Linked DNA regions of Arabidopsis thaliana. The protein of the gene in region 2 interacts with the protein of the main gene of each other region in a pairwise test. Each region holds a gene or a part of one and is shown on either strand. Other genes may lie near its edges.

What was found.
Region 1: the proteins of AT3G61790 (region 2) and CKS interact in a two-hybrid assay, tested with the Arabidopsis thaliana proteins (one large-scale study listed by BioGRID).
Region 3: the proteins of AT3G61790 (region 2) and AT5G63370 interact in a two-hybrid assay, tested with the Arabidopsis thaliana proteins (one large-scale study listed by BioGRID).
Region 4: the proteins of AT3G61790 (region 2) and AT3G26050 interact in a two-hybrid assay, tested with the Arabidopsis thaliana proteins (one large-scale study listed by BioGRID).

What each region holds. Positions count from the first base shown.
Region 1 is NC_003070.9:19,743,245-19,751,420, reverse strand, and holds CKS (Nucleotide-diphospho-sugar transferases superfamily protein), read left to right. Parts: upstream 1-3,616; coding exon 3,617-3,630; intron 3,631-4,133; exon of another isoform or gene 4,134-4,232; coding exon 4,233-4,506; intron 4,507-4,762; coding exon 4,763-4,808; intron 4,809-4,964; coding exon 4,965-5,051; intron 5,052-5,144; coding exon 5,145-5,269; intron 5,270-5,386; coding exon 5,387-5,526; intron 5,527-5,648; coding exon 5,649-5,700; intron 5,701-5,777; coding exon 5,778-5,888; intron 5,889-5,998; coding exon 5,999-6,091; 3' UTR 6,092-6,429; downstream 6,430-8,176. Other genes in the region: AT1G53010 (RING/U-box superfamily protein), read right to left, coding at 3,038-3,574; AT1G52990 (thioredoxin family protein), read left to right, coding at 7,972-8,111. UniProt on the Arabidopsis thaliana protein: Catalyzes the production of the sugar nucleotide CMP-3-deoxy-D-manno-octulosonate (CMP-KDO). CTP is the preferred nucleotide donor, but it can partially be replaced with UTP.
Region 2 is NC_003074.8:22,869,496-22,876,716, forward strand, and holds AT3G61790 (Protein with RING/U-box and TRAF-like domain), read right to left. Parts: upstream 4,339-7,221; 5' UTR 4,049-4,338; coding exon 3,821-4,048; intron 3,538-3,820; coding exon 3,151-3,537; intron 2,845-3,150; coding exon 2,479-2,844; 3' UTR 2,202-2,478; downstream 1-2,201. Other genes in the region: emb1703 (embryo defective 1703), read right to left, coding at 1-1,967; AT3G61800 (ENTH/VHS protein), read right to left, coding at 5,228-7,036, 7,166-7,221. UniProt on the Arabidopsis thaliana protein: E3 ubiquitin-protein ligase that mediates ubiquitination and subsequent proteasomal degradation of target proteins.
Region 3 is NC_003076.8:25,382,171-25,390,727, reverse strand, and holds AT5G63370 (Protein kinase superfamily protein), read left to right. Parts: upstream 1-3,466; 5' UTR 3,467-3,935; coding exon 3,936-5,774; 3' UTR 5,775-6,240; coding exon of another isoform or gene 6,241-6,425; 3' UTR 6,426-6,558; coding exon of another isoform or gene 6,559-6,688; 3' UTR 6,689-6,918; downstream 6,919-8,557. Other genes in the region: AT5G63390 (O-fucosyltransferase family protein), read left to right, coding at 1-216; AT5G63380 (AMP-dependent synthetase and ligase family protein), read left to right, coding at 702-1,757, 1,897-2,086, 2,453-2,598, 2,672-2,739, 2,813-2,915, 3,022-3,147; AT5G63375 (uncharacterized protein), read right to left, coding at 6,241-6,425, 6,559-6,688. UniProt on the Arabidopsis thaliana protein: Cyclin-dependent kinase involved in pre-mRNA splicing. Required for the correct splicing of the sixth intron of CALS5 pre-mRNA. May stabilize the binding of U1 snRNP to this rare type of intron with a GC 5'SS.
Region 4 is NC_003074.8:9,518,656-9,526,482, forward strand, and holds AT3G26050 (TPX2 (targeting protein for Xklp2) protein family), read left to right. Parts: upstream 1-3,081; 5' UTR 3,082-3,251; coding exon 3,252-3,323; intron 3,324-3,468; coding exon 3,469-3,882; intron 3,883-3,954; coding exon 3,955-4,473; intron 4,474-4,551; coding exon 4,552-4,613; intron 4,614-4,713; coding exon 4,714-4,785; intron 4,786-4,935; coding exon 4,936-5,038; intron 5,039-5,146; coding exon 5,147-5,275; intron 5,276-5,355; coding exon 5,356-5,586; 3' UTR 5,587-5,928; downstream 5,929-7,827. Other genes in the region: ATB' DELTA (serine/threonine protein phosphatase 2A 55 kDa regulatory subunit B prime delta), read left to right, coding at 1-213, 300-605; AT3G26040 (HXXXD-type acyl-transferase family protein), read left to right, coding at 1,086-2,414; PRXQ (Thioredoxin superfamily protein), read left to right, coding at 6,152-6,355, 6,834-6,974, 7,067-7,156, 7,250-7,468.

The DNA.
Region 1 (8,176 bases), on a different chromosome or scaffold from region 2:
GAATCAGAGCAAGAAAAAAACCCGTAAGAGAAGCAGATCATCGAGGTGAGCCAAATCCACCAAATGTTTAAAAAATTTTATGAAATTTATGACTTTCTCAGTCTCTTATGTATTTTCTTATTATCATTTGTAGTGTTTAATTAGGAATGGTGATTGATTATTTTATCGAGTTTTAACTTAGGATTTTATCATTTTATGATAATTGTTGTTTTTTTGGCATTTTGGTATAGCATCAAAGAATTTCTAGCAAATATTGGACGCTGCGTTTTCAGTAGTATCAAGTTGAAGATACGAGAAAGAAGACTTGGTGGTGACTAAGGACCTAACATGGAGTAGTAGATCGAAGACAAAATTTTAGCCTTTTTCTTTTTACTATTTTTGATATATGAATGACAATAGTTTTTCCGGTTTAGAAAAGTGGTTTTATAATTGACATTCGGTTTTCAAAGGACAAATGGTTTTGATAATTGGTGGGTTCACATTATTCTTTTCTGATTTACAAAGCTAGAGATTCTTTGGTACTAAATTAGAGTTAGCAATGTCCACCTCGGTTCCCAAGTCCATGGTTTCCACGTCCACGACCTTTGGACGATGCTATCATTTCCATAGCTTTAATGGATGGTTTAACCGATTTTTGACACAATTAATCTCAAGTCGGTTGGAGTCATTTGTTCCATCAGTACACGACTACACGAGTGGCTGTCTAAATCATGTGTATCCAATTCTGTCGAGCCTAATGCCATAACCTGGTTTTTACCAAGTCACCAAGAAACTCTAAGTCACAACCAAACTGGAAATATTTCTTTTGCAAAAAGTACACAACATACGATACTGTCGTGTCCATGAAGCAAGAAGTGGATTTACTGTGTGGGGAGACACCATCAATCGTTACCTGAGTTGATAGAATGATAGTGTATGATCCTCGTCACCGATGAAAAGAAACGAAGTTGCCGAGGCTCAAGGTAGCCCGAAGCGAGGAAAAGAGAAAAACGAATTAGGTTTTTCATCGATGCATGAAGTTTTGATATACCAATGTGAATTGTATGAATAATATTGAAAGAATATATAAAGGTATTTATAGAGTTTTTTTTACAATGAGGACATATTCTTATTGTCGTTAAAGACTATGGTTTACAGCATGAGATAACAACCAAAGGTAAAATAATTAGTCAAAATTTGGTTTAAAATAGTGATGAAAATGCAGCACTTTAATTAACGACTGTTGTTGTGATGAATGAACAGCATTTCAAAGAGTTTGTTCGTAGCCATTTCCTCGTCCGGTCTCACCACATAGTGAAAGCGTGCAATGCTTATAAAAATGGAGCTCTTGTTGGATCAATGGTTAAAGGCAGAGACTGAGTCCAAGAACGTGAACAAACTAGCCAGAGCGGCTCCAAGAAGTTTAGGACCGATGTAGCTAGCTTTATGAAGACATTGGTTGATGAATTCGTTAATTTAGAGCGAAACCAAAACGAAAACCAAAACCATCTGAGAGCAATGCTAACAAAGAGACCCAGAGCAATAAAACAAACCTTAGGAGAAGCAGATTATCGAGGTGAGCCAAAGCTGCCAAACCAGCCAAACTGTCAAATATTATTTAAATATAAATTTTGAATATTTTTTTAGGATGATCTATGGATATATGATATCAAATTTATGGTACACCGCAAGACGATATTTTATAACTAAATATTTAAAATTTTAAGTTGTATTTGTTTTGCTAATATTGTTTAAATTGTTTAATGTTTAAAATTGTGTAATTGTATTTTAATTGTTAATTTTAGGATTTCACCCGTAGTATACCATCCCGTATTAATATTCACTCAAACCCGTCAATTCTAATATTTCATCTGTTGTATAAAGTTTAAATATTTATAATATTTAAACTTCTTATAAAAGAATCGAGATGCATCTGTTGTATATGTTTTGTTAATATTGTTTGCGAGATGCATCTGTTGTATAAGTTTTGTTAATATTGTATGTTTTGTTTAGTATTTAAGATTGTATAATTATATTTTTGATTCTTAATTTTAGAATTTTACCCGTAATATATTATTCTGTATTATTATTGATCCAAAGATCGTCAATATATGATTTTATCAGTAGTATAAAGTTTAAATATTTATAATGTTTGAATTTCTTATAAAAGAATCGAGTGAACTTCAGATCATATAAGAGGAGCTTCTCTCATAATATTAGATGAGAGGAGCTTCAAACAACATGTACTGAAATTTAAATTTAATCCAAAAGTAACCTGATATGGGTTAAAACGGAAGTCATATGAGTTGAGATAAGTTTGAAATCAAAGAGTTTGAGGCATCGTGGGAGATGATGGATTCAGGGAAAGTTTGTGGCCGAACGTTTTCATATGCGAAGAGACGATTTCTTTCTCTATGTTTTAGGTGACCTGGCTAGGTGTAGGTGTGGCATCCTCTTACATAATTTTCATTTTGCTTGAGAGACCTAAAACAACTACTTTTATTAGTAAGAGATATAGATTATTCATGTTAATAAATAATTAATTAATTACTATTCATAATTTTGAATTTAATTTTTGCAATTAATATTTATATTAAAACCAATTTAATTAATTTTATAGAAAAATCGTGAGAAATAATTTATAGGGAATTGGTAGAAGATAGCTTTTCTACAAAACAATTGATAGGAAATCGATCAAAACATTTCTTTCTGGTTCCTTGCACTCTTTCCTACTTCTGAAATTTTGTAATGACATCTGTTTTACTTAGGTTTGGTTTCGAATGAATTGCTGGTTTTCTCGAAAACTTTTCTCCAAACCGGGTTAGCGGGGAAAGATATGGCAAAAATCATAGATTTAATGACATTACTATTCCTCTGCAATTTATGAGAAAATAGGACATTAGTGTTCTGTTTCTGACGAAACCTCCCATATGCAAACCAAATTATAAGGTGAATCAATGATAGGTTTCATTGGCAAATTGGTTTCAATTAAATAGATATCTCTTGAAGAAGAGACAAAATATCTATGTACAGCTTACGCAACAAAGCTAGGGACTTGTCATGATTCTGGTAGATCTTTACGACAAGTAGGACATGTGAGATGATTCTTAAGCCAAGCGTCGATACAAAGCGCATGATAGATATGTCTGCAAACAGGAAATACTCTGCATTCTTCATTAACGACATAACCACTGAGACAAATCGCGCATTCTCTTGATTCTAGTGACTTTTCTTCATCCTCCTCATGGTTGCCTTGTCCAACAAGCAACTTCGGTAGTAGGGTTTCGATCACGCTTTGTTTCAGCCCGCGCTTTTTTCCTTCTCTCTCGAAATCTGGTAACCGTAGACCGGTCGAGATGATTGTGTGGTAGGTAACGATTCTAGCACGTTGTTGGCCTCTTTGTACTCCGATTTCGAGATCTAGGTCGAGACATGTTCCTAAGAATGGTCGCAGAATGCAATCGATGATGACGTAGATTACAAGAATGAGAGCTGAGGTTGCAATGAGAACAACGAGCAAGATGCAGAGACCGATGAAAACAGCGAGACCAAGAACGCTGATGAGACTAATCGCATCATCTTCTTCTGAGCTCATGTTGATTCTTACAAGAAACAAGTTCCAAGGGTTTTGTCCAAAATGGTGATTTTCAGGTGACAACCTAAAGATTTAAACAGCTATATATTTTTAGTCATGATAGCTTGTTGTTTAGGATAAGGCAGTGAGGAAGGATTTGTGTGTATTCTAAGTTTAGGGTTTGGTTTCAAATTCATATCTAAAGTTTTCTGATTTTTTTCTCTCAAAATTATCCTAAATCGTTAGAAAGAGTTCCATTCCATTTGATCTGTTATTTGCACACAAAAGTCCTACATGTTTTTTAAAAAAATATAAATTATGTTGTGGATTTGGTCAAAATTTCTTTGGTGATTTGAAAATTTTTCATTTTATATTTAAAAGGTAATATTTTCTTAATGGTGATACATATGACCAAAATAATAAAAGGATACATATATGTTGTTGTTTTTTAACACTGATACATATATGTTGTTATTCTTTTCCTTTGTGTCTGAAAATATTTTCACTTTATTTTTGACAAAATATTATTTACGCAAAAAGTGTTATTAATCCAATTAGATTCCATAATTAAGTTATTCAGCAAATTGACCTTTGTAAGGAATTAAATTGGTCATAAAGTCTAATTAAACCGGTCCAAACCGGTTCTGTTCTCGCTGGCTCGGCCACCGCTTTTCAACAGAACAATCTGTCTTTTTCTCTGTCTCACTCTCTCACTCACTCACCGGAGCAAAGTGATGTCGGTGTGTTCTTCGTCTTCTTCTTCTCAGAAAACATGGATTGTTAACGGGATCTTGGCCGGAACAGCGATTGCAGCCGCAATCGGCGCACGTGCTTATCTGGGTCGATCCAAGAAATTCCGGAGCCGGGTCGTCGGAATCATTCCCGCACGTTACGCTTCCTCTCGATTCGAGGGTAAGCCTCTCGTGCAAATCCTCGGCAAACCCATGATCCAGGTTCCTCCATAGTTGTCTCTTTTCAGTATCTCTGTTTATTCTCTGTAATATCGCTGTGTCGGATCTGGCTTAGTTTGGCAAATTTTAGTCGAATTTTTGTGCACTGCCTTTAAGTTTTCAGATCACACATTCAAGTTTATTTTTGTTAAAAAGTTTTCTACTTTCGTTAACTCTCAATCTGGTGTTAGATAAAGTTTGAATCTTTTGTAACTATATATTTTGTGTTTCTCATTTTTGTTGGTTCGTTCTTGAGCAGAGAACTTGGGAGAGGTCGAAGTTAGCTACTACGCTTGATCATATTGGTAATGTTGTCTCATAATCTTTATATATGAAAAATCTCTACTTTATGCATCTAAGATCTCTTCTATGAACTTTGCCTTTGGTTTTGATTCTTTCTTTCAACTTGTGATTATTCAGATTACAAGATGTCTGATTTCTGTGTGTTATTAATTTATCAGTTGTAGCCACTGATGATGAAAGAATCGCGGAGTGTTGTCGTGGATTTGGTGCCGATGTTATCATGACTTCAGAGTCTTGCAGAAATGGTTTCTTTACTGTTTTCTTCATAATTTTGGTTTTTTATTTGGTGGGATATAGAGCCTCTGGCTTAAGCTCTGTATCATTTGGGTGATGTTTAGGCACTGAGAGGTGCAACGAAGCGCTAGAAAAGCTGGAGAAGAAGTATGATGTCGTTGTTAACATTCAAGGAGATGAACCACTTATTGAGCCTGAGATTATAGACGGTGTAGTCAAAGCACTTCAGGTCTCGTAAACTGCTCAGTGAGATGATGTCTTATATGTTTCATCGTGGATTATGATCCTACTACTTAGAAGTCTTTCGAATGCTGTTGAATAGTGTTCCTATGGTTGTGGTTTCTAGGTAACACCGGATGCAGTGTTTAGCACAGCGGTGACATCATTGAAACCAGAAGACGGGCTTGATCCTAACCGAGTTAAATGTGTGGTGGACAATCGTGGCTATGCTATCTATTTCTCAAGGGGTTTGATTCCTTATAACAAGTAATTTCTCTTTTCTTTTTCTTTTTCTTGTGTGTATTGGTTATATGAATATCTTATTCATCCTCATACGTTCATATTGATCTGTTTGTAATGTTCATTATTGATATGCTTTTGCGGTTTAGGAGTGGTAAAGTCAATCCAGATTTTCCGTACATGCTTCATCTTGGAATTCAGGTACTGAGCAACCAATTTCTGTTTGCTTTTCTTTTTTTGTTGTCATGATCTAATCTCGGTTATGTTTTTATCCTCAGAGCTTTGATTCGAAGTTTCTGAAGGTATATTCAGAGCTTCAACCAACGCCATTGCAGCAAGAAGAGGATCTAGAACAGCTCAAAGTTCTTGAGAATGGCTACAAAATGAAGGTAATGTAAAAGTATCGCCTGTCAGTATATCATCCTACCAAAAGAAATGAGTCTTTTCGTAGAGAATATAGAGAGTAGGCACTAAGGTCTAAATGTTTGGTTGTGTACAGGTTATAAAGGTAGATCATGAAGCTCATGGAGTTGACACACCCGATGATGTCGAAAAGATTGAATCTTTAATGCGCGAAAGAAACATGTCCTAGTCCACAAAATCATTTTCCTTTCTTTTCTTTTTTTCCCTTTCATTAGGAGTACGTGATAAACGCCTTGAAAGAGTTGTGGCATTGTGTGTGAGACATCGAAGGTTTACTGATACGACATCGAAGGTTTACTATCATTTACCTAAAGAAAGTATCGTGTTACTTTTTGATAGTATCGATCTTTTTATTTTCCCCTTAATTCCTTTTTAGTATCGATCTCCTTTGTTACTCTCTGATATTGATGTTTGTAAACTTTTGAAATCGATGATTACGCTCCTGATTACGTTAGTGTTGACTGTTGAGATCCTCAAAACGATTGAGAAACAGGAAACGGTCGAGTTTGTGCATTGCATTTGTAGAATATATCCTTCAATCAGTTCCAAAGCAAGGAAACATAAACTTTTTGAGTTTAAAGGTGAATCCTTTTATTCACCCCATCTTTTTCTAACCAATTAGAATATGTCACTTAAAACAAATTAAACTCATTTAACAGTATAATCTAGTTCCTAATCACTCTTTCGTTATAAATACTGTATATATATCGGCTAGGATTTTTGACACATTAAAAATATAAAAACATTTGGTTTTACTTTTTATTAGTTTTTTCTTTTGCAACCTACTTCTTATTAACATATGATATAATTAATTATGTTAAAAATGGCTCAGAGTGATTGAGAAATATATTTATATATATATATATATATATATATGTACACGTGGTTGTTCAGAATAGCCTACAGTGGTAATGTAGTGAAACTAATCATTTGGGGAAGATTAAAGAAAAAAGAGAAGAGAGACGTGTTTAGTTTGTTTGTTTTTGTGAAAAGAAAGATGTTTAGTGAAACACGTGTTAAGTGTCATGACCAAGAGTTGGGGAAGATAGAGAAAAAGACAAAAACAGCTAAGAATAATAATGGCTATGATGTGGTGACTCTATAGTCTATATTAGTTCTGGGCACAAATATGGAACCGAATGGAACCGAACCGAACCAACCCGAAATTAATGGATATGGTTCGGTTCGGGTTCTATTGAAAAGAGTGATCAGATCTTGATTCAATGATCCATGGGTATAGGTTTGGTTCGGGTAGGAACCAATACCTATTCGGGTACCTAAAAATTAAAGCCCATTAGTCAATATATTTTTTATAATGATAGCCCATTAACTCATATTTCTTTTATAACTCATATTAATCTACTTAACTAAACATAACAACCCTTGATCCAATCCATAAGCTCACCATCTATTTCTCTTACTAACCTCTGCTCTCTCTTTCACTCTCATCCGTAACCTAATATTTGAGAAACCCTAGTTCTCTCTTTCTCAAAGACGAAGATAAAAACTCCTCGATTCATTGCAAACCTAAGAGGCAAAGACAAGCCTCTTATTGGATTTGTAATCGTATGATGACTAATATGTGATGTTTTATTGCATACTTGGATAATTGCTTATGAGTTTTGCATTATCTTTTATTGTTTTGTTTCGGTTTCAAAAATACCCAAAATAAATTGATTCCTTCTCGGTTCTATTGGTTAATATCCGAACCAAACCGAATCGAGTAGGATCCGAACCGGAACCGAACCGATCTTTGTTTGGTTCCAATATAGTTCCTAAATCTCAGAACCAAAATAATTGGAACCGAATGGTTCGATTCTAGAACCGAACCAAGGACTAGTCTATATCTCTAACTTATTTGAAAGGAAGATTGAATAATGTCTTGAAATACACGTGTACATTTATCAAAATAATGGTGATTGATAATAATAATAAAAATAGAAATAATGGTGATTGTTTAGGTAAGCCATGGACGATTATATAACAAGAGTAGAGGTCCTTGTTTCCGACACTTAACTAGAAAACGGTTTGAGAGATTACAAAGTATCGATGGAGAAACTTAGGGTTTTGTACCGTTTGATACTGACGATAACGTGCTTGGTGTGTTACGGGTTTAATGTTGGGAAGTGTTCAGAATTCGATTTCTTGATCGAGACTTACGTGTCATCATCATCAGTGCCGTCGTGCCGGTCCGACAGTTGCGAATGCCCTACGCAAAGCTTAGAAAAATGTTTTTTTATATACTACAAAAACC
Region 2 (7,221 bases):
GCCATATAATTATCCCTAAATCCTGCTCTCATTTTTTCAACAACAGGCTCAAATTCATGGTAGTTATTCTCTATCCAATTCCCCTTCCCTGATGGTTCTTCCTTCTCTATATGTTCAGTACCACCAGAAGAACTTTTGGCAAATTTAAAATTGTGCTCTTCGATTTTATTTGAAGAATTTATTTGCTTGCTCGATCCCTTAACTGCATTCCCAGGTTCTGAGAGTTTTTGGTAATCATTCTTTTGGGGTTGACAATCAGCATCCTTCCCCAACGGTTCAGAAGAAGTAGACTCAAGTGCAGATTTCAAGGTTCCATTGACAGCTGCACCAAGGATTTTATTTTTGTCAACCAATTCGTGTTTTCTAGCTACACCACGCTCTTCGTCGCTCTGCTTTGAGAAGATTTCAACACTATCTTGGGCTATCATCTGAGAAGGTTCCTGAGTAAGCTCTTTCTCACCACTTCTTCTTGAAAGGAACTCTTTAGCCTCTTTTACAGACCGTATGACCCGTGACTTACGACCAGTGCTATTCTTCATCATACTTAACTGATCCTTAGAGACATCAGAAGATTGGATGACTCCGTCTGTAGGAACTGGTGGTACCACATTACTCACCTTTTCTTTGTCAGATGCTGCCATTTCATGATTCAGAAAACCAAAATCTACCATAGCCCCATTCAACATCGGAACAGCAAAACCAGAAAGTTCAGTGTTCTCACTGTCAGTCGAAGTTCCCAAGCGTTCATCTTTATCATCATCACCTTCACTGTGTGTCAAAGCCTCATGTGGAAGACTCTTCTGTGACTGAATGCTTATATCTTCCTCATTGTCGCCTGTTTCTTTGTTCACATCGAGCTTCTGCTTTTCATTAAGTTCTATGCCAGCTTCTATCTCCCGTGCTCGTCTAGCCATTGCTTTGATTTCATGGATCTTATCAACAAAGTCCAGCTCAACATGAGGAGAATTCACGAGTTCCAGTTTCTTCTCTGAACCCTTAACTTTAGAAATACTAGTCATAAGTTCATTTCGATCAAACTTAGGCTTCTCAAATGACATCAATGGCTTTTCCAAACCCTCCTTGTGCAAAACTTCCACGGTACCTTTCTCCGACATATCCCTTTCCTGCCAAGCTTTCATCTTTCTCCTCATCATCTCCTTCTCCAACTCTGTACACTCAACCTCATTACTCTTCCTATACACAAGCACCGTCTTCAGCAACCAGAGTCCAATGTAACCACACAAAACAGCTCTTCCAATCGCCGGCAACTTTGGAATTAAGTCAAGACGAAGAATTGCGTTTTGGACTGAGCTAACGAGACGAAACTCTTCCTCTGAAGAAGAAGAAGAAGAAACGAACTTGACAAGAGAACTCTCCTTATGGATCACATGTTCCCCATTCTCCATTTGTTCAGCTAATTTCTTCGCATATACAAGCTTAGAACTCACTGATTCCAAATCCCCAAGAGCTGATCTTCTTCTACTCAAGACCTCGTCTTCATCAACCTCTACTTTCTCTACGTTTCCAACAGAATCCTGATAGACAGTGAAAATGGGATTCGAACCAATACCCCAAAACTCTGCTTCCTTGTTATACCGAGCAACCCAATCTTCAAGCTCATTCAGCAAATTTGAATCTTGAGCAACCCTATCTTTCAATCCCTCGGTGCTACTTAAATCATCACAGTGACCAAACTTATGGCTTTCGTTTAGAGGTTTCGTACCTGGTTCAGAAGATTTCGGAGTCGAACGCCAATACTCATCACCGATGATCTTCTTCCTCAGCGAATTACGTCGCCTCGAGGTCTCTCCGAACCGAGCCGAGACTCGGAGAATTGAAACGCGATAGTAGTGGAATTTGGAGATGGGCAAGTTGAATCGACGTTGGTTAGCGAGTCTCCTGTTCGAATTGGACGAGAAAGACGAGAAATTGAAGAAACCATCATTGGAGTTTAGTAGAACCTCCATTGATGGAAACCAAAGGGATAAAGCTCACTTCCGAGTGAGAAAACCCCCAAAAGCTGGGTTTAACAGAACAATGATGAAACGTCGTCGTTTCTTAAACAAAGCTAACGCCTTTGAACAACACTACAGTTGAAAAAAGGTTCAACATTTTACATTTTCCAGATATAAAGCTCATCACTTCCAAGTTCCAAAAGCTGGGTTTAACAGAACAATGATGAAACGTCGTCGTTTCGTGGACACAACACAAGCATTACATAAATTTATGAACACTACAGTTGATAAAAGTAAAAGGTTCAACATTTTACGTTTTTCCTCCAGATATAGCAGAATTGTAATGAACTATATATTTTATAATAAAAAAACCTCCATGACATGAGAAAGACAGAGAGAGATACATAAGAACAACCCCAAGTTTATCGTCAGAGAAAACCCTAATTACAGATAACCATGGTTACAGAGACAAGGCCAAATCGGTGAGGTTTTCAAAATCAGTTTGATTTTTTTTTTTTAATTTTCAAGACAAGTTTGGGATACAAGCTCCTCCACCTTCACCACTTTGTTGTTGCTCTTTCCATATCCTTCCAGTGACTCGAAGTTTCAGCTCTTTCCTATCTCCACCTGAGAAGAAGAGAGCCATGTTTCTTTGTATAATTAGTCCATCATGACTGTCTCTAACTTTCCTGTGGCTGTCTCTTACGCTTCTTGGTGTTCCTTCCCATATCAGCTTCCGACCATAACCTCCCACTTCTAAACTGTAATTGTAGTTTCGAGCTTCTGTCTCGTCCCCCATGAAACGCAGGAACGCCATGTAGACTGGAGCCATTCCGAGCTGGAATGCCTCAAAGTGAAGACAGAAGTATTGACCGAAGCAGTGAAAGACCTGATTTTCATTTTTGAACCAGAAACAAAACCAAAACAGAGGAAACCTTGATAAGCATTAAAGTATATCAAGTCAACATGTATAGCGAGATGGAAGATTCACAATTCACAACCATAGATTAGATAAATAACTGGACCTTCTCTAGGAAAGCTAACTCGCAACAAAAGCAAAATTTGACTCAGCTGATCACATTACAGTTTATACCAGACAGATCAAATTTTATCACAAATATAATCCTATTACTTTAAACAAAGCCTCCTAACTTATCTAAGTGTATACTATGAAGCACGATTCATATGTACTTACAGTTAACATCCATGTGGCGTTTTCGACTTCACGAGGATTAGACTTGACATAACGATGGTTGAAAGTACACCCAGAATGCATATCCACCTTATGATCATCCCTCAGATGAGCAACTAAGAAAGGGATATCGCCCGTAACAGAACACTCGGATCCAGCATAAGGGCAGCTATAAGGTCTGAAGTTACATACAGTCTCATGTTTGAGCTTACTGTAATAAGGGAAGATTTCAGGACATCCAAGTGACATGTGTTTACAAGGTAGTTCAAGTGATTCGGCTACTTTTTCCAGTGCCAAACAACGGATATCACCGAGCTCTTGTCTACAAGTTGGGCAGCGGTTGTGAACCCTGGCTTTACAGGTTGAACACAACGTATGTCCATTGTGACACTGTAGGGAAATCAAATAATTGTCTATCTGTTATTCCATAATTCTCTAAAGAAACAATAAGAAGAATCTTAGAAACTATCAAAGCTATTGACAAAATTTAGTGACAATTGTTTCAATTGTAGCCATTAGTGAATGGATAAAACTAAATTTCAAGTTACAAGAGCAACACAACCACTGCTTCAACATCCATGATTCACATCATTAACTCAAAACCCTAAACAAAATCAACAAATTAAAGATCCGGGGAAACGAAATCAGAGAACAAGGGATTGAAAAGAAAGACCTGATGAATGGGAGGGTACATAGAATTGGTGCAGACAGGACATTCGAGAAGCTCATGAACACTGGTGGTGGTAGGGAGAAGCCCAGAAGCAGCAGCATTAACGTTGGTGGTGTTGTTATTAGTATGATGATGCTTGGAAACAGAAGCGTAGGAATGGCGATCTTGGTGGATCTCTTCATCATCTGTCACATCCATGGTTGATGTACAGTCCATGCTATCCAAATCCATTGAAGAAAGGTGGAGACTTTGATTGATCTTCGATCGAAACGAAAGATCAAAATCCGGAATTGAAGAAACACCACCGAAACAGGTCAACCCTCGTGAAGTGTTGTTAATTTTCAAAAACAAAAAAGATAGATGCTCTTCTTCATCAATTCTCTAGAGAGAGAGAGAGAGATAGTTGCCGTCAAATGAACCGGAAACGCTGATTTAAGATCGGACGGTCACAAAGGCGGCTGTGTTAAAGAGAGAATGTTATTTGGAAACAAATTGAATTATAAGAGATTCAGAAGAATTTACTGGATAGGGGAAAAATAATCATATTCTAATAATATACGTACAGTATATCCTCTCTCACTCAATGATTTCTTTGTTTTTAATTAAAGGGCCATGATCCAGTAGAGATGGGCCTAAATATGTACATGGTGCACATGATTGCTTCTTTTTTTTTATTCTAGATGTTTTTCTCTCTAGTGGGATTCTGTCTATCATTATTGTGTGTTCTTTTTTTACTTTTAATTCAAACAATTTCTTTTCCTTTGTACAAGAAAAATGATTTTCAACTTCTAAAATGACAGCTAAATTCAAAGATTCATGAAAAACATGCTCATCTTTCTGTTTACTTTAACAAAAACTTTAAGAGATGTATTTAGGTAAAATTAGACGGTTTAAGAATATGAAATTCATAAGAGGAATAATAAGTAATGGGATGTGGCTTGGGTTCAAAGTCACTTCAAAGACCAATGATAATGTAAATGAACATTTTACTCTTCTTCATCTCAAGCAAACTCTCACAATCTTAAAAGCAAATTATTCAATTAATAATTGCTTCTCATCAGTGATCGGTCTCATGAGTGATATCATCCTTAAACACACCACATAAAAGAAAAAGAAAAAAGCGAACAACAACGATCCATCCAGCTTCAATGATCTGTCGTTGCTTTTTAACAGAACATGTCAATTGTACTATTATCTTTCTGTTGGGTTTTGTGACTTTTGTCTGAGAAAAATATAAAGCTTCAAAGAATCTGGGACTTGACTTAAGAACTGTTTTCACAGCTACAAGAGATCACAAGCGGATCTGATTATTCATTCATCAAATATTCTTTAGCTTTTTACTCCTATTTGCATCAAACAATCAAATTTAAGGCACTACTGGATCAAAACTAGAAAGATTTTAGTTATTTGTTACCACTGGTTAGCCGATGTATCCCGGCACTTTTCATCATTGCCCTGAGCCAACTGCTGTGGATTAGTACCTTTTACTCGATTACTAAACAGTCTCTGGGATATTCTATCTTTAGCCGTTGTTTTCTTACGCCTTGTGGAAAAGGTTTGCTTCTTGTTTTTCTTTTCAGCAAAAACTCTATCAAACTCATCATCCATAGCATTCGATCTAGAAGTTGAGGCTATTGCCGCACCACGCAGAACTTCATGATTGTGTTCCTTAACCTTAACCTTAACAAGCTTTGCTCTTTTCCTCACCACTTCTTTGTCTTTCTCCCGGATATTCTTCAGAGCCTCTTTCGCTATTTGCCTAGCTAACTGATTAGGATCAGAATCTGAAGTTGTTTCATCCATAGACACATCCTGGTTGGTCCCTGAAGTTGAAGAAGTTTGGTTTTCACTCTCATCTAATGGAGATTCCTGGATTATGGTGTTTCCTTCATCATCCCGGGGTACAATGGGTCCGTGAAACGGACAGACTCTGAGATCTCTTCTCTGGCAAAGACCACCTTTCTTTAGAGAAGCACGGCATGGAGGTGTCTCTGTTCTCTCTTCTCTATACACGGTTGCCTGAAGATTCAATTCTGCTATTTTATCTGCTGGAATTATAGCATCTTGATCCACCCTGCCCCAGTGGCTCTCGATCTCTAAACCCCGGTAATTAGCTCGAACTTCCGTAGTTGATTCCCAATTAGTCAACTGTGATCCCCAATTCATCACAGGCGCTTCAGAAATTAGCTTGTCTCTAAGAGAGTTTCCACTGCTTCCAACTTTTTTAGTGTTCGACACTTTATTGGACCTAGCTTCTGATGTAGACTTCTTTGCTTCACCTGATGATGGTAAAGATGAATTCTCACTCTGCTGAGTTCTCATCACATGAGCCACGTTCTTGACTGAATCAGTTTTAACCTTGCCATCATCCTCCTCCCAGATATCTTCTTCTTCCTCGTTTGTTTCTTCATTACCGTGAATATCAGTCATTCTTGACATTGTAAAACCAGCTTCTTCCCATTTCTTTTTAGCTGCCAATATGTTATTCCTGATATCAATCAAGTCCTTCAACATGGAATCTCTCGTTCTGTTATCACTTACGTCAACCCTAATGAGAAGAGAGATCCCTTCTTGAACCGAGATCAGATGCTTTGTCACTAGAAGCTTGCACTGTTCCCTCAACACATCAAATACAATTCTGTTTTCACCAGTTTCTTCAACCTTTTCTGATTGTTTCAGTGAATCAAGACGAATTTGCCTCAGATGAGAACAACGGATCTCCTCAAAATCTTCCTCATCTAAGATCGCAAGTGGAACACCATCATCCCCTCTCCACTGAACAATTTCCATACACTCCTTGATTTCCTTTATCGTTACCTCAATCTCATACTTGAAGAGTCCAAAACTAACTCTCAAGGAATCAAACTTGTTCCGCAAAATCTCTTTTGTCTTCATCTCCCTCTCCTGTCTCTCTCGTTGAATCCGTGCAGCATTAGCCTGTAAATCAGGGAACTTTAACTTGAGGGTATTCTTAAGGTAATCAAACCCAAGTCTAAGCTCCTTGTAATGAAACCCAAAAGACAAATTCCACTTCTCCAAGAACTCAATAGCCTTTGAACGCAACGTAGTGGCAACAGCAGGTGGTGCAGGAAGAGGCAGATTGCTTCTAAACCCAATACTTAAACTCAAAAGCTGATCAAGATTCTCAATTATCAAAGTTCTAAAGAGCTTTGATCTCATGAATAGCTCGTCGATTATGAAAAGCGTCAGATATCGAACCTGTCAAAGAAAATTATCACCGCGTTATTTGACCAACAAACCTGATCAATCAACATTGACTAGTCCTTAAAAGAGCAAGTTTCAATGAATTGAACGGATCAGAAATTGTTCAAATAATGTGAAAAAAACCTGAGAGTGGTTATGTCTCATGAGCTCCATTAGGGTTTGCGAACTAAGTCGGACCT
Region 3 (8,557 bases), on a different chromosome or scaffold from region 2:
AAGTTTATAATGCCTAATAAGAGAGCGATGCTTCCTTTAATGGAGAATTCTTCTGTTTCAGATGCCGAGCTCAGTTTTCTAACTCGGAAGCTTCACCGTAAGTCCCAAGGCTATCCTGAGTCACGGAGAGGGCGGAGAGATCGTGACGTGATAGCTTATCCTGTCCCGGAGTGTATGTGTCGACATAGAAAACACAGGTCTGTAGGTTTCTTCTAGGTCAGGCTCATTGCTTCTCAAGGCAGCGATTGTCACAAACGCTGGTCTATTGGTATAGCTCGGTTGCCTTGCTCCTCAAAGCAATACTAGTCCAGCTGCAACCAATCGGCGTTAGACACGTGTACATATAAATCTACTGTAAATGTACAGATTCCTTTCCATGTTTTGCGTACAAAATTTCATCATTCGTACAAATCACTGAGCTCTAACTAATAAGAATGAGACACGTGTAAAAAGATTTATGGCCCACAGATCTTTGACGAAAGAACGTTGATACTTGACAGCCTTTTTAGTTATTTTGTTTAGTAGTTTTGTAAACAAAAAACAATATAATAAAATCGATTTGCCGTTAAAAAAAAAAAAAAAACATTGATTGGTTTAGGGATTGCCACGTATGCATTAATTTATGTGAGTTCATATCTTCTCGCAGGCGCGCATGTTCACCGCCGACGAAAAGATTACTGTATCTCTAATCGTCTTCCAGAATGCTGACGAAAACCAACGACAGCCGTTTGATTGACCGGAGCTCCGGCTTCGATCAACGGACAGGAATCTATCACAGTCTTCGTCCCTCTCTTTCTCTACCTCCTATAGATCAACCTCTCTCCGCCGCCGAATTCGCGCTTTCTCTCCTACTCAAATCCTCACCACCTGCCACCGCCGGGAAAAACATTGAAGCCTTAACCTACCTAGTTAACTCGAGCTCTGGTGATAACCTCACTTATGGAGAGCTTCTTCGTAGAGTTCGTTCTCTTGCTGTATCTCTCCGGGAGCGATTTCCTTCTCTTGCCTCCAGAAATGTCGCTTTTATCCTCTCTCCTTCTTCGTTGGACATACCAGTGCTTTACTTAGCTTTGATGTCGATCGGTGTTGTTGTTTCACCGGCGAACCCAATCGGATCTGAATCGGAGGTGAGTCATCAAGTCGAAGTCAGTGAACCAGTAATTGCGTTCGCGACATCGCAGACGGTTAAGAAGCTTCAATCCTCTTCTTTGCCTCTCGGAACTGTTCTGATGGACTCGACTGAGTTTCTCTCCTGGTTAAATCGATCGGATTCTTCATCGGTTAATCCATTTCAGGTTCAGGTCAACCAATCGGACCCTGCCGCTATCCTCTTTTCCTCTGGAACAACCGGGCGGGTCAAAGGCGTTTTGCTCACTCACCGTAACCTAATCGCCTCGACCGCCGTATCTCACCAACGGACTCTCCAAGATCCGGTTAATTACGATCGCGTTGGACTGTTCTCGCTTCCGCTCTTCCACGTGTTTGGTTTCATGATGATGATTCGAGCCATCTCGCTTGGAGAGACATTGGTGCTTTTAGGGAGATTTGAACTCGAGGCGATGTTTAAGGCGGTGGAGAAATATAAGGTTACTGGTATGCCTGTATCTCCTCCGTTGATTGTAGCGTTGGTCAAATCGGAGCTCACGAAGAAGTACGATCTCCGGTCGTTGCGTTCCCTTGGCTGCGGAGGAGCTCCACTCGGCAAAGACATCGCAGAGAGGTTTAAGCAGAAATTCCCAGATGTAGATATTGTACAGGTAATAACTGATAAGACAGTTAGTGTCAAAATATGACTTTGTATATAGGACTGTGTCCAGTTTCATGATACTTGGTTTTCATCAAGATTTTGAATCATTTATATGACTTTTAACTTTCTGGTTTGGTGATGGCTTACAGGGCTATGGCTTGACAGAGAGCTCGGGACCAGCTGCCTCAACGTTTGGACCTGAAGAGATGGTAAAATATGGCTCAGTTGGTCGTATCTCTGAGAATATGGAAGCCAAAATTGTTGATCCATCCACCGGAGAATCCTTGCCACCGGGAAAAACTGGTGAACTCTGGCTCCGAGGACCAGTCATCATGAAAGGTATCATAAAACATATGCAATAGTTGAGGAACATGCAATGTGCTGAGCTGGTGTAAACTAAATGACTTTGCATATAAGAATCTAGGACTGTCAAATTATATCAAGACTTTGACCATTAATGTGACTTTGCATATAAGAATCTAGGACTGTGTCAAATTAAATCGAGACTTGTGACTTTGCATAGAAGAATCTAGGACTGTGTAACAAATGCAATAGTTTGAGGAACATTCAAGAGCTTTCACTAAATGACTTAGCATATAAGAAGAAATCTAGGACTCAGTCGGATTTCATGATCCTTGAAGTCTAATGTCTTCATCAAGATTTTGATCATTGATGTGACTATAAACCTGTGATTAATGGGCACAGGTTATGTGGGAAACGAGAAAGCGAGTGCGGAGACAGTAGACAAAGAAGGGTGGTTAAAGACTGGTGATCTCTGTTATTTTGATTCGGAAGATTTTCTATATATTGTTGATCGGCTAAAGGAGCTAATCAAATACAAGGCTTATCAGGTAAATTTTACGAGTCAGAAGAAGAAGATATAGTCTTTAGAGTTTAATATTAATCAAAAGCGTCATCTTATAGGTTCCACCGGTAGAGTTGGAGCAGATTCTTCACTCGAATCCAGATGTGATTGATGCTGCAGTTGTTCCGTGAGTCTTTTAAACTCAAATTTGTAACTTCTTGAAATGTGTTTCTGATACTGACATGGATCATGAATTCAAGGTTCCCTGACGAGGATGCAGGAGAGATTCCAATGGCTTTCATAGTGAGAAAACCAGGAAGCAATCTCAACGAAGCGCAAATCATTGATTTCGTAGCTAAACAAGTAATGCTCATTGCTCTAGAATGTTGGTTATATTAATTTTTAGTACAAGTAGACAGAACAATTAGATTTGATGTTTTGGTTTGCTTATGTAACTATTTGTGTGTAGGTTACTCCGTACAAGAAGGTAAGACGAGTTGCTTTTATAAATGCAATCCCAAAAAATCCTGCTGGCAAGATTCTGCGTCGGGAGCTTACTAAAATCGCTGTGGATGGCAATGCATCAAAACTTTGAGATAACCGGCTGGTTCATATATTATTGTGTCGGTTTTCAGTGAAAATGGGATCTAATTACCGGTTCAGACGAAATGTAGCTTACATTCTTACTACACAAGATTTAATGTAATATTGACCGTTCGATTAACAACGTGAGTATTATTATTTATAGCATCGTCATTCGTCACCGTCACCGTCCAAACAATAAACGACTAGTTTCGTGTTCATTAATTAGATCCAACGGCTGTAATACGTAGCTCACGTTCTTTTGGTACACCCGCAAACATTAGATAAATCTGTGAAATAGAAAAGGGAATTATTGGAGCAGCCGACCTATTACGATTATAAAACAAAGGGTAAAGTAATAATAGAGCCACTTGACAAAATTGAAAAACGCGTCTCCGAGAGGAAAATTTAGAGAAAAGCTTCTCGCGATCGCATCGGGCTCGTAGATCGATCTCCTCCTCCATCCAATCTTCCGTTTTCGTATTCACCGTCCGGTAAGACCTTCCGGTACTTGTGAATCGGAGAAGAGGAAGGAGAAAAATTATCGCGTTCCTGGAAATTGAATTTCTAGGGTTTCGTTTTTTTCTGAATTATTCTGATTCTGATTTCGTCAAGGGTGTTTTTCTTAATTGGTTGATTGATCGTCTTTCTAGTTCAATTGTTGAAAAGTAATTGAACATCTATTGAAATCTGCTTCTCGTGATTTGATTCTGGGTTTCGTTGATTGGTTTTTTTCGAGGGGTTTGTTTGTTTTATCCTTTTTTATTTCTATAAGATCAATTTCTCATTGAGAAGAATACGATGGCAGCAGGGGGTGTTGATGTTTCCAGAAGTTCCGTTGCTGTCAAAAAAGACTACGACTTTTACAGGAATGGTTCTCGTGATGTGTATGTTCGACAGAGTGGTAGAGATGACGAGAGGCGTCAAATCAAAAGGCCTAGTGACCATGATCTCAGGAGGAATGATGGGCGTCACCGATCACGGTTGGCATATGAGAAAGGGGAACTACGGGAGGAAGCAGAGGTTCAGAGACCCTCTGAGAAAAGGAGGAAGTTTTCACCCATCGTGTGGAATGCAGAAAAAGTGGGTAGAGCTCCATCTAGGGAGAAGACCAAGTCTCCTTTCCCTGTTCCGACTACAACTGTGATATCCAATCAGGCTGTTGCTGGTAAGACTACTTCAAACGATCAAGTGAATGCCTTGATGTCGCCAGAACCTAGTTATCTTGCTCCAGTGCAGCCTTCAGAAGCCCTGCTGGCTGTGAAACATCCTGTTGATGATTTGGAGGAGGGTCAGTTGGAGGAAGAACAGGTGATGCAGGAGGATGTAAAGGAGGGTCTGTTGGAGGAAGAACAAGTGATGCAGGAACCAAATATAAAGACATCTAGGTGGGGGACAGGTTTGACTTCCCCAAAGGAGGAGTTAATATCTGTTAACGTTTCCAAGACTAATAGATGGAACAGGAGCAGTTTGACACCGGAGTGCGAGGAAGTAATGGTGTCTGAAGAACAGCAGTGCTATTCGTCTGGATCTGGCAGTGGACATCTCAGCGTAGAGAAGCTTAGTGCAGATGGAAATTCTGGTCGTGAGTATTATAGTTCTGATCATGATGAGTTAGAACATGAAGATCAAGATTCTTTAACTCCGGGAGAGATGAACATGATGTTTGGGAGCAGGTCTGTGAATGAATTTCAGAAGCTAAACAAGATAAATGAAGGAACATATGGAATTGTTTACAAAGCAAGGGATGAGAAAACAAAAGAGATTGTTGCGCTCAAAAAGATCAAGATGAAGGAAGATAGGTTCGAAGAAGAGTATGGATTCCCTTTGACATCATTGAGGGAAATTAACATACTTTTGTCATGCAATCACCCTGCGATTGTGAACGTGAAGGAGGTTGTGGTTGGAGGGAAAAACGATAATGATGTTTATATGGTCATGGAACACTTAGAACACGACCTGAGGGGAGTAATGGATAGAAGGAAGGAACCTTTTAGCACTAGCGAAGTCAAGTGCTTGATGATGCAGCTGTTGGATGGTTTGAAATACCTCCACACAAATTGGATTATCCACAGGGATCTGAAGCCATCTAATCTTCTGATGAACAATTGTGGGGAGTTAAAAATATGTGATTTTGGGATGGCGCGCCAGTATGGGAGCCCTATCAAGCCTTACACCCAGATGGTTATTACCCAGTGGTACAGGCCACCTGAACTTCTTCTAGGAGCAAAAGAGTACTCTACAGCAGTTGATATGTGGTCAGTGGGTTGCATTATGGCTGAACTGTTGTCTCAAAAGCCTTTGTTCCCGGGTAAGAGTGAGCTTGACCAACTTCAGAAGATCTTTGCGGTCCTTGGAACACCAAACGAAGCAATATGGCCTGGGTTCTCATCATTTCCGAATGCTAAAGCCAAGTTTCCTACACAGCCTTACAATATGTTACGTAAGAAGTTTCCAGCTATTTCATTTGTAGGTGGTCAAATTCTTTCTGAACGTGGATTTGATTTGCTGAACAGTCTACTAACTTTGGACCCTGAGAAACGTCTAACAGTGGAAGATGCTCTCAACCATGGTTGGTTCCATGAAGTCCCGTTACCAAAATCCAAAGATTTCATGCCGACATATCCTCCAAAGCGGTAACTGAGAAAAAACGTGCTATCATTTGGACGAGAGGATGTCAACAAATACACAGGGAAGTCGACTGGTCGTATTTTGGTATTTTCCTTTTTACTCAAAAGACTTGCTTTCATCTATTCTTAACTCAGTTGCGTTGCTTTGTTGCCTGGAGATTCAGGGCATTCTAGTGTACCATTTATTCGGATTCATGTGTAAATATGAGTGGTCCGTAAAACTGAAAGGTGTGTTTCTCTCTTTTCGTTAGGACCCTAATGTTATTGCTATCAAGAGTTGTACACACTATTGACTCACATGCTTTAATGGAAGAGATCTCAGTATTCACTTTCTCTCTCTAGTAATTGGGTTGGGATGGTTATTGTTTATGTCCTCATATTTCTTCTGTGCATTGTTTTTATTCACGAGGTAAACGCAAAGAGTTTATCACAAACGTGAGAATGGAAGTTGACATCAGTAAGTTTATTTTGATTACTTATTTACCACGCTCTGTTATCAATGTTGGTTTGTTGTTCGACGTCCCTTTGTCTTTGAGGTGCTCGTATTTGGTCTGTTGGCAGTGAGAAAAAGATGATTCATGATGAGTTTCTGTGGACATAGGAGGTATGGCAGTGGTTTTTTTCATGTTAATCCGAGAATTAAGGGATTTGGGATAAAAAGCTATATAGAAAGAAGCTAAAATAAGTTTGTCTTCAACACTATAACCCTTTGTCCTCCTTTCTTTTTAACTTCTGTAAACAGCTAAGCTAAATCAAGTTCATTTCAATAACGAATAAACTAGAATCAGCATTACCTTTGACGAGGCCATAAACAGAAAGGATATTACACAACACACAACAGTGATCAATATGAGGAAAAGCTTCTTTTGCGAGATGATCTGCATCGTTTCGGTCCTTAGTCTTTTGCTCCCAGCTCCTTACCATATGTCATTGTGCAGCTTCAGCTGTCTATTACCATTTAACAATCGGTAATGTTTCAACAATCACTTTTGTAAATTCCCTTTCCCATATTCCAAACTCCTGTAGAATCAAATCTCATATTGTAGTTGGAATTTTTCAAAACGAGGTTTCTAAATTAGTTTTCTCTATATCAGATAACCAACAATGATATTTTGTTCGAACCTTTGGTCGATTAAAGAGAACAGATAATGATTGCCACATCATCTGATTTCTCTAATGATACAGAATTTCATAAACAAATATATAGAAACGAAATACTGATTTATCAAGTTTAAAATTAACTAAAGAATGCCCTAGTCATGGGTCCTCCTTTCCAAAACTGTACAAGTGTCCCAGACAAAACGACCAGTTTAAAAGCCCTTATCGAGACATCACACATTACCTTTTTTAAACTTTACCGACTCTGACACCATCAGATCCACACGTGGCGAGAATTCATTTGGCCACTTTCCCCAATTAGGGTTCTTGGGCGTGGTTTTGATGGTGATTCAGTCTACCTTTTTCTCTCTGTCATCGAACCTCTCTATATTTAGTATTTCCTTATCTTCTTCAGCTGTCAGATTATAATTGGGTGAACATGTTCGATTTTATTGTTTAGTGTTGATAGGATTTAGTACTTGTCTTATATTTATAAAATAAATAGCCAAGGTTTGTCGATGGTGAGCATTTAAATTCGGGGTTCTTTTTTTTGTTGTTTGAATTAGTAACTAACGATGTTTTATCATTGGTTCCTTCATATCCAACGAAATGACAAAATATCACCTTTTTCTCAAATTTTGTAACTATTGATTCTTAAAAAAACATGGTACATCTGTTAAGTGTCTGTAATTTTTGATGTGTTTATGTATAGTTTTAATTTTTTTACATCAATGCATAAAGCGAAATGTTTTTGGTCATGTATATACAGTATGTGTTTTTCTTACAACAAATATATTACTGATGATATACGATTATATATATACGTATATAATATATGATTAAGAAATGATATGTTATATAGTCCGTAACGGATAAGATTGCTTTGTCCCATATGCATATTATATCATTAATGATATTTTTCATTTTTCGTTATTCATCCGTTATATTTTTCATTTTTCATTTGTCCCATATGCATATTATATCAGTAGTATGTTTCGATGGTGGTTTTATGTTGAAACTGTTGGCTATCGTATTATATAATTAATTAGGTATAGAATCAGCAGGTGAGGGTGAGAGCAAAGGTAGTCAATTTTATTCATTTGTTTAATATATACGTAGTAATCAATGTCTTTAAGCCAAATATAATTTGATCTGATCCAACCCAAAAAGATTGTATTTGTGCATCCTTCTTCTTTTAGTAACTATGACATGTTTTTGATAATTGCATTTACTATCTGTAGGGACGTCAAGTAGAACCACTAAAATCATCTATACTTTAATGATCAAGATTACATTGTTGAATTAAAACTTTAGCTACATCAACTCTATACGGTATATCGTGTTTTCCTTGCAACAAAATATGTAATAACGAAAAATGGAAGATGAGATATCGAATGTTAAAGAATCAAACCTAACTCTCAAGTCTCAACATCAGTCATCAGTTTCGTCCACATTCATGAATGTATAAATATATATGGACTAATTATTAAGCCTTGGTTAATTAAATAATGAGATTGTTTGTGTAAATTATAGTTGTAAGTTGATAAGCTAATTACATATCTCTACGTGTCCTCTTGCGTGCAACGTACAACGCAACACAAACCCATCAGATTTTTCTTGATGCCATCTCGAACTGCCTTCCGAATCTACTTTATTTCTATGTTACTATATTGGATTTTTAATAAGATTTTGACT
Region 4 (7,827 bases), about 13 Mb from region 2:
GTTATACAGTTTGTTGAGAAAGATTGTAAGCTCGCGGATACCGTTATTAGAGGGATGTTGAAGTACTGGCCTGTTACTAATAGCGCTAAAGAAATCATGTTCTTGAATGAATTGGAGGAGATACTAGAAGCAACTCAATTAACAGAGTTTGAACGGTGTATGGTTCCGCTCTCTCGCCAAATTGCTCAGTGCTTGAGCAGTTCTCACTTTCAGGTACAGTTAAGAGTTTATTAGGTACATTTACCTGATTCTTAGATTCTTGAATTGTTCATAAAATTCAACTGCTTCTGTGTTTTTAGGTAGCGGAACGGGCTTTATACTTATGGAACAACGATCATGTCACTAATTTAGTGAGACAGAACAGTAGAATCATTTTACCTATAGTGTTTCCCGCTTTGGAGAAAAACGGTAGCAGCCATTGGAATCAGGCTGTGAAGAACTTGACAGAGAATGTTCTCAAGGTTTTGTCCGATACAAATCCTGATTTATTCGAAGAATGTTTGCACAAGTTCCAAGAAGATCAGCAAAAAGCAGAAGATACTAAAAAGAAGAATGGAGAAACCTGGAGACAGCTAGAGGAGATTGTTGCTTCAATGGCGAAGTAAGAGTTTTTTCTGCACTTTACGTGATTCAACAAGAAATCGGTTTATTGTTTTGTTTTGTTTCCTTTACGCCTGAAAGGTATATACATTTACTTTGCTTTGCTTGCTTCATTTAAGTATCTGGTTTCGACTTTAAGACTAGTTTAATTCAGTTAAACAGTGTGAGATTTTACCTTTTTCAGTTCTTGATTTGTCTGTATACTTGGTTCATGTAAACATCTTGTTATGAAAACACGAATTTTCTATTGTCTGAAGTCACTTAGTTTATCAGTGAAAGAGATTGCTCTAATATAAAAATTGTTTCTGGAATAATGATTTCGTCCTTTAGTATACAGAGGATCTGTTGGCATTTTCCTGCAAGTATCTTTGGATTTTGTCTGTTAAAAGGTTCTGTTACAACAGGTTTATTCTTCTAACCAAGAAACCGAAGAAAAGCTCTCTGCGATGACTCTTAGTCGGTTTTTCGTCAGGAGGTTTCACCAGATGAGAGTTGATGTTGTCTCCAGAGATATCATCAAACCATCATCTCCAACTCCAAACCACTTAAAGAAGTTTAAACTCTCTCTTTTAGAACAGCTCGGTCCAACGATCTTTGGTCCTATGGTTTTCTTCTATTCAGCTAACAACAGCATCAAACCAACTGAGCAATTGCAGATGCTGAAGAAGTCGTTATCCGAAACTTTAACTCATTTCTACCCTCTCGCTGGACGGCTCAAAGGCAACATAAGTATCGATTGTAATGACTCAGGCGCTGATTTCCTCGAAGCACGAGTCAATTCACCGCTTTCGAATCTCCTACTAGAGCCTTCTTCTGACAGCTTGCAACAACTGATTCCTACATCTGTTGATTCCATAGAGACACGAACCAGACTGCTTCTTGCTCAAGCGAGTTTCTTTGAATGTGGAAGCATGTCTATAGGAGTTTGTATCTCTCATAAACTCGCTGACGCAACTTCTATCGGTTTATTCATGAAGAGCTGGGCTGCAATCTCGTCCCGAGGGTCGATCAAAACCATTGGAGCTCCGGTTTTCGACACGGTTAAGATCTTCCCACCTGGAAACTTCTCTGAGACTTCCCCTGCACCAGTGGTTGAGCCAGAGATCATGATGAATCAGACTCTTTCGAAGAGATTCATATTCGATTCTTCGAGTATTCAAGCTCTGCAAGCGAAAGCTTCAAGCTTTGAAGTGAATCAACCAACAAGAGTCGAAGCTGTTTCAGCTCTTATATGGAAATCTGCAATGAAAGCTACAAGAACAGTTTCAGGAACATCGAAACCGTCAATTCTGGCAAACTCCGTGAGTCTACGCTCACGAGTCTCTCCACCATTTACAAAGAACTCAATAGGGAATCTAGTGAGCTACTTTGCAGCAAAAGCAGAGGAAGGAATAAACCAAACAAAGCTTCAAACTTTGGTTTCGAAAATACGAAAAGCGAAACAGAGGTTTCGAGATATCCATATACCAAAGCTTGTAGGAAACCCAAATGCCACAGAGATCATTTGTAGCTACCAGAAAGAAGCAGGAGATATGATTGCAAGTGGAGATTTCGATTTCTACATATTCTCAAGTGCTTGTCGATTCGGTTTATACGAAACCGATTTCGGTTGGGGAAAACCGGTTTGGGTCGGGTTTCCTTCGGTTAGACAGAAGAACATCGTGACGCTTCTCGACACGAAAGAAGCTGGTGGAATTGAAGCTTGGGTGAATCTGAATGAACAAGAGATGAATCTTTTTGAACAAGATAGAGAATTGCTCCAATTCGCTTCTCTGAATCCTAGTGTGATCCAACCTTTTCTTCATGTTCTCTGATTATAAAAACCGGTTTAGTGAGCTAAACCGGATATATTTGTTGAAAAACTGGTTCTATTTTGACTAGCCGTTGGGAGGCCACTAAAAAGGTTGAAATTAAAATAACGGGCAAAATTTGGTGATGTAATAAATAAATAGTCCTGAAGAATCACCTTTTTATTATATACTAATAAATTCAGAAGTTATTTTTGTAAGTAATCTCATGTTAAATTTAAAAACAAAAAGAATTTTTGTCATATTTTTTTTTTTCATAAAGACAGTTTCATTACTCTCTATTAATATTAATTAAGCACTAAAAATAAAATTTAACTTGGAGCACACTCTCATAACTTAATACTAAAAGTTTAATATTAGTGTTTATTATTATTAACTAATATTTTTAAAAGAGGACAACAAGAATAACCATAATGATAATTGATAGCTTATACGTAATAATAAAATATAGTTCAAAATAATAATAAAATAAACATTCTATAAAATATACGTAATAATTATATACAATTAGATAATAAAAAAACACTAAACATAGTTCAAAACAAAACAAGGAAGATTAGAAAATGTAAATACATTATTTTATTTCTGTAAACAGTAGTATATATATAATAATTAAATGATTCCACAATTAGATGAAACGTTTTCTATAAATGACGTAATAAAAATAAGGGAAGTGGCCGTTGGGGAAATTTAAATCATATGCTTAGAGTTCGGACCTACTTTCAGATTTGCAGCCAAAGAAAAAGAAGCTAACAAAGATTTTTCAGTTTTCAGTTTCTCAGCGAAACCACCAGATTTGGGGATAAAATTAGGGTTTTTCGATCTCCAGAGAAAACAAAAAAAATGGGAGAATCAATTTGTCTTGTGAGATCTTTCTCGCAACCTTCAGAGTTTTCATCGCGTGAAATCAACGAGGTTAGTGCTTAAGATTTCTAAATCTACAATCTTGGATTTAGGGTTTTGATAATAGAGATTGATTTTGCTAGTGAAATTTCTGTGTATAGTGTGTTGTTTGATGAATCTGAAGAGAATTTGAGATTTGGTTTTTGGTTTTTGGCAGGTGGTACCGAATCGAGTGCTTACGGAATCAGTATCGTTTGGTAGATATGCGAATGAAACACTAGCGTGGGCGAGATGGTCAGCTTTTACTCAGAATCGTTACTTGGAAGAGGTTGAGAGGTTTACTAAACCTGGTTCTGTAGCAGAGAAGAAAGCTTTCTTTGAAGCTCATTTCAAGAACCGAGCTTCAGGGAAAGCAGCAACACAGACGAAGAAGATTGAACAAGTAAAGGTTAAAGATAGTGTTGAGATTGTTTGTGATATACCTAAGGATATTCTCGTTGATTCAGAAGTACCACTAGCGGTGAATAGAGAGGTGTCTAGTAATGAGGTGGACTCTGTTGTTCCATCAATTTCTGTAATAGATGAAACTGGTAAAGTGGAGAACTTGAAGTCAGTGGTTGTTCCTGATGAGGTAAATGCATTTCTGTTACATTGCAATTTCCTGTTTTTATTTTTTCTCTCTAAACGTCCATGGTGTTTTCAGGGCAATTCTACTTCTTTGAGCAAAGAAAGACCTCCTAGTTCTTCCGGATCGAAGGTCTCAAGCTCAAAACTGGAATCTTCCGTTGTTATAGAACTGGATCATTCACTTAAGAACACTAAAAAAGAGTCATCCTCGAGTAGTACAAGGTCACTTAGTGCATCGAAGAACCGAAGTAGATCACCTCCTGAGCCCATTCACATGTCAATCAGCTGTGTTTCTTCTAGTAATACCGAGAAAACTATTGTGGGGAGGCCCCAGAACGGTTCTAGGAGTGCAGTGAAAGCAGACAAGAAGAAGAGATCAGGTCCAAGTTCAGTTCACATGTCACTCAATTTTGCTTCTTCTACTCTTCGTACGACCAAAGAAGCCCCAAAAACACTGGCAAGAAACTCCACTACACAGGGAACAACTTCAACAAATGCTAGAAACAAACTTTTCCCAAAGATAAACGAACCAACGGGAGCTTTAAAAAGCTGCAAGAGACCATTGTCTCAGACATCCAAAGACGGTTCAACCAATGTAATTCTCTTCCCAAGTTTCTCTTCTTGCGTATATCCCAAGCATATTTGCTGAGACTGACTCTTACATATATTGCAGGCCTCTGCTGTCACGTTACCCAGACTTCCTCTTCTCAGTAATCTGCTATCAGAAAACAAAAGGTTACTGATCAAACCATCTTCAACACCAATTCATCGCTTTATACTATTACTTTATTATTAACTCAACCCTATAATTAACTTTGCTTCTTCTGATATACAGGAAAAACATATCTGTAAGGAGTTCAGTTTCATGTAGAATATCCAACAATGAGCAAAGAAAACCTTCTGTCGGGTAAGCGGTTTAAGTACCAACCTCTTAGAGAAATACTATCTTATGTCACTTACTGCAAATGGCCTGAGTTGGTTAATTGAAAGTGTTTGTGTTAGTTCCCTGATTTATGTGGACATAAGACGAGATGTTTTTGTCTAATGCATTTTGCAGCTGTGAAAATCTGTCAACTCATAGCAGAACCAAAGCAAAGTCTTTGACTGTATCTTCTCCCTTCGTCTTCAGAAGTGATGAAAGGGCAGAGAAGAGGAAAGAGGTAGAACTAAAGAAGATCCTTTTACTTTATCTTTGAGATTATTTGAGGACTTATAGAGCCGTAGTTTAAAAAAGATCTCTTTTGTTGTGGATGTGTCTTGTCTGTTAGTTCTTCAAGAAAGTAGAGGAAAAAAACAAGAAAGAGAAAGAGGATAAATTTTCTTGCGGCTTCAAGGCAAATCAAAACACTAACTTAGCATCTGAAGAACACAAGAACCCACAAGTTGGTGGTTTTCAGGTATATTCAACTCTCAGACTGTAACTTGTCATAAATTTGGGTATTGAATCTTTGATGTATGACATTATAATCATGTGCAGGTAACACCGATGACCCTGACTTCACCAAGATTCCGCAGGAACCAAACTCCAGGAAAAGAGAACATAAAAAAACCTCATCAAACTCCTCATAAAGCTTCCTCAATGAAGATCATCAACACCAAAAAAGTAGTCATGGAGAAGCACAAAAGCAGCAAGATCCATCCCTCCTCCAAACAGCAGACAACAAAAAGAACTCAAGAAAATATGTCTCCTAATATTCTTCAGAACTAACCAGAGACAAACCAGATCAATCGATTCCTCTTCTTCAAGTCTCTAGATCATCGTAAAGATTCGACTTTTCACTTTGAAGATTCCGAAAGTTTTGTCCCTTCAGCTAGTAATCTCATCTCAAGCTTATGGTTTAGGTGACTAGCCCTTGATTCAGATTGTGTAACCACAAGCTTTTAAGGAGCTGTGTAGAATAGATAGAACTCAAGTCTACTTACTCTTCAAAGTAACTATGTACTCAATAGTTCTGTAGTATCAATCTTGTATCATTTGTATACATAGAGATTTGAAATAAAGAATTATGTCTACTTTTCAATTTCTCATTGTGTTTCTTTCTTGAATTAGTATAGACAGGAACATGGCAAAGCTTTCTGTTTTACATTTGTTTTAAACGACGACGTTTTGGTATGATGTTGTGATGTTGTGTTGTTGTGGTGTGGGCCTCTCGTTTCAGAGGTGAGAGAAAAAATCTTATCTCTGTGGACTGTGATTGTGTGATGTTTCCATATCTTCAGCTTTTCTTCTACTACATGCTCTAATCACGTCCTTGTAGAGGAAAAGAAAAAAAATGGCTGCTTCATCTTCCTCTTTCACTCTCTGTAATCACACCACACTTCGTACTCTCCCTCTGAGAAAGACCCTTGTCACCAAAACCCAATTTTCAGTTCCCACAAAATCATCAGAATCTAACTTCTTTGGCTCCACACTCACTCACTCATCGTATATCTCCCCAGTCTCTTCCTCTTCTCTCAAAGGCTTAATCTTTGCCAAGGTACATTTCTCGACTCTTGCATTGATAGATTGTTTGCTACAGTTGGGTAACAACTAGTTCTGGGAATTAGCTTCTTTGTTAGACCAATGTTTTTTGGACAATCTAAGTTCTGTTCCATTTCTTTTTTATATGTTTTTGAGTATTACGATATAAATATTAGCAAGACAATAGATTGTTAGATACACAGCCATTTTTGAATAAGAAACAAAAGATGTAAATATTGGGTTTTAAGTCTGAATTTAAATGTTATAAGAACAGATTTATGAATGTGTTAGTGCAGAATCAAAGACAAAATCAAAGAAACTTGTAATCAGTGTTTGTTTTAGAGACCATAAACTTTCACATACCTGAAAATAAGCAAATGCTAGAATGTTCTTGAATATGTTCAATCCTTTATTCATATGATTTAAGCTGACACGGCATATGAACTCTCTTTAACCTTCTGTGAATTGGTCTCTTTGTGATGTTTGGTGGGCAGCAGGTTAACAAGGGTCAGGCTGCACCAGACTTCACACTAAAGGATCAAAACGGAAAGCCGGTGAGCCTCAAAAAGTATAAAGGGAAGCCTGTTGTTCTCTACTTCTACCCTGCAGATGAAACCCCTGGCTGCACCAAGCAGGTTGTTAAATCTTTACTTTCTCCTCCTTCCCGCATTCATTGATCGCATATTTAGTGTTTCTAAACGTAAATGGTTTTACTTGTGTACAACAGGCTTGTGCTTTCAGAGACTCTTATGAGAAATTCAAGAAAGCTGGTGCAGAGGTCATTGGCATTAGTGGAGATGACTCTGCTTCTCACAAGGTACACACATCAAAAATCTCTGGTTTCTTGAATAAACCCATTTCTTTTTTCCGGATTTTAAAGAGAGTGGTGGGACTTTAAACATTGTTGCAGGCGTTTGCAAGCAAATACAAACTACCGTATACATTGTTAAGCGACGAAGGGAATAAGGTGAGAAAAGATTGGGGAGTGCCTGGAGACCTGTTTGGAGCATTGCCAGGGAGACAGACTTACGTTCTTGACAAAAACGGTGTTGTTCAGCTCATCTACAACAACCAGTTCCAGCCTGAGAAACACATCGACGAGACCTTGAAGTTTCTCAAAGCTGCTTGATCATTCTCTCTTTCTCTTCTTTCTCTTCTTTCATGCATGTCTCATGTCTGTCTCCATGAGACCATGACCTTCTTATATTGTTTCTGTTGAGTATGAATTTTCAATAATACCATGTTATACCAATGAGAAGGGAGTTGGCTTTGGTCTAGTACAAAGATCACAACAGGATAAGTACTGAAGTGTGGTTAAAATGTTAGTTGGTTCTGTGTATTTGAGTCTCTCGTTTTCATTGTGAACACCTCTACTATCTCTTTCTCTTGTATCAATTAACACTTCAAGTAAGGTACACATATCAGGTAACTCTAGCTAGCCCTTGATTAAAATTGTCAAACACAAAGCTTTAAGGAATTGTGTAGAAT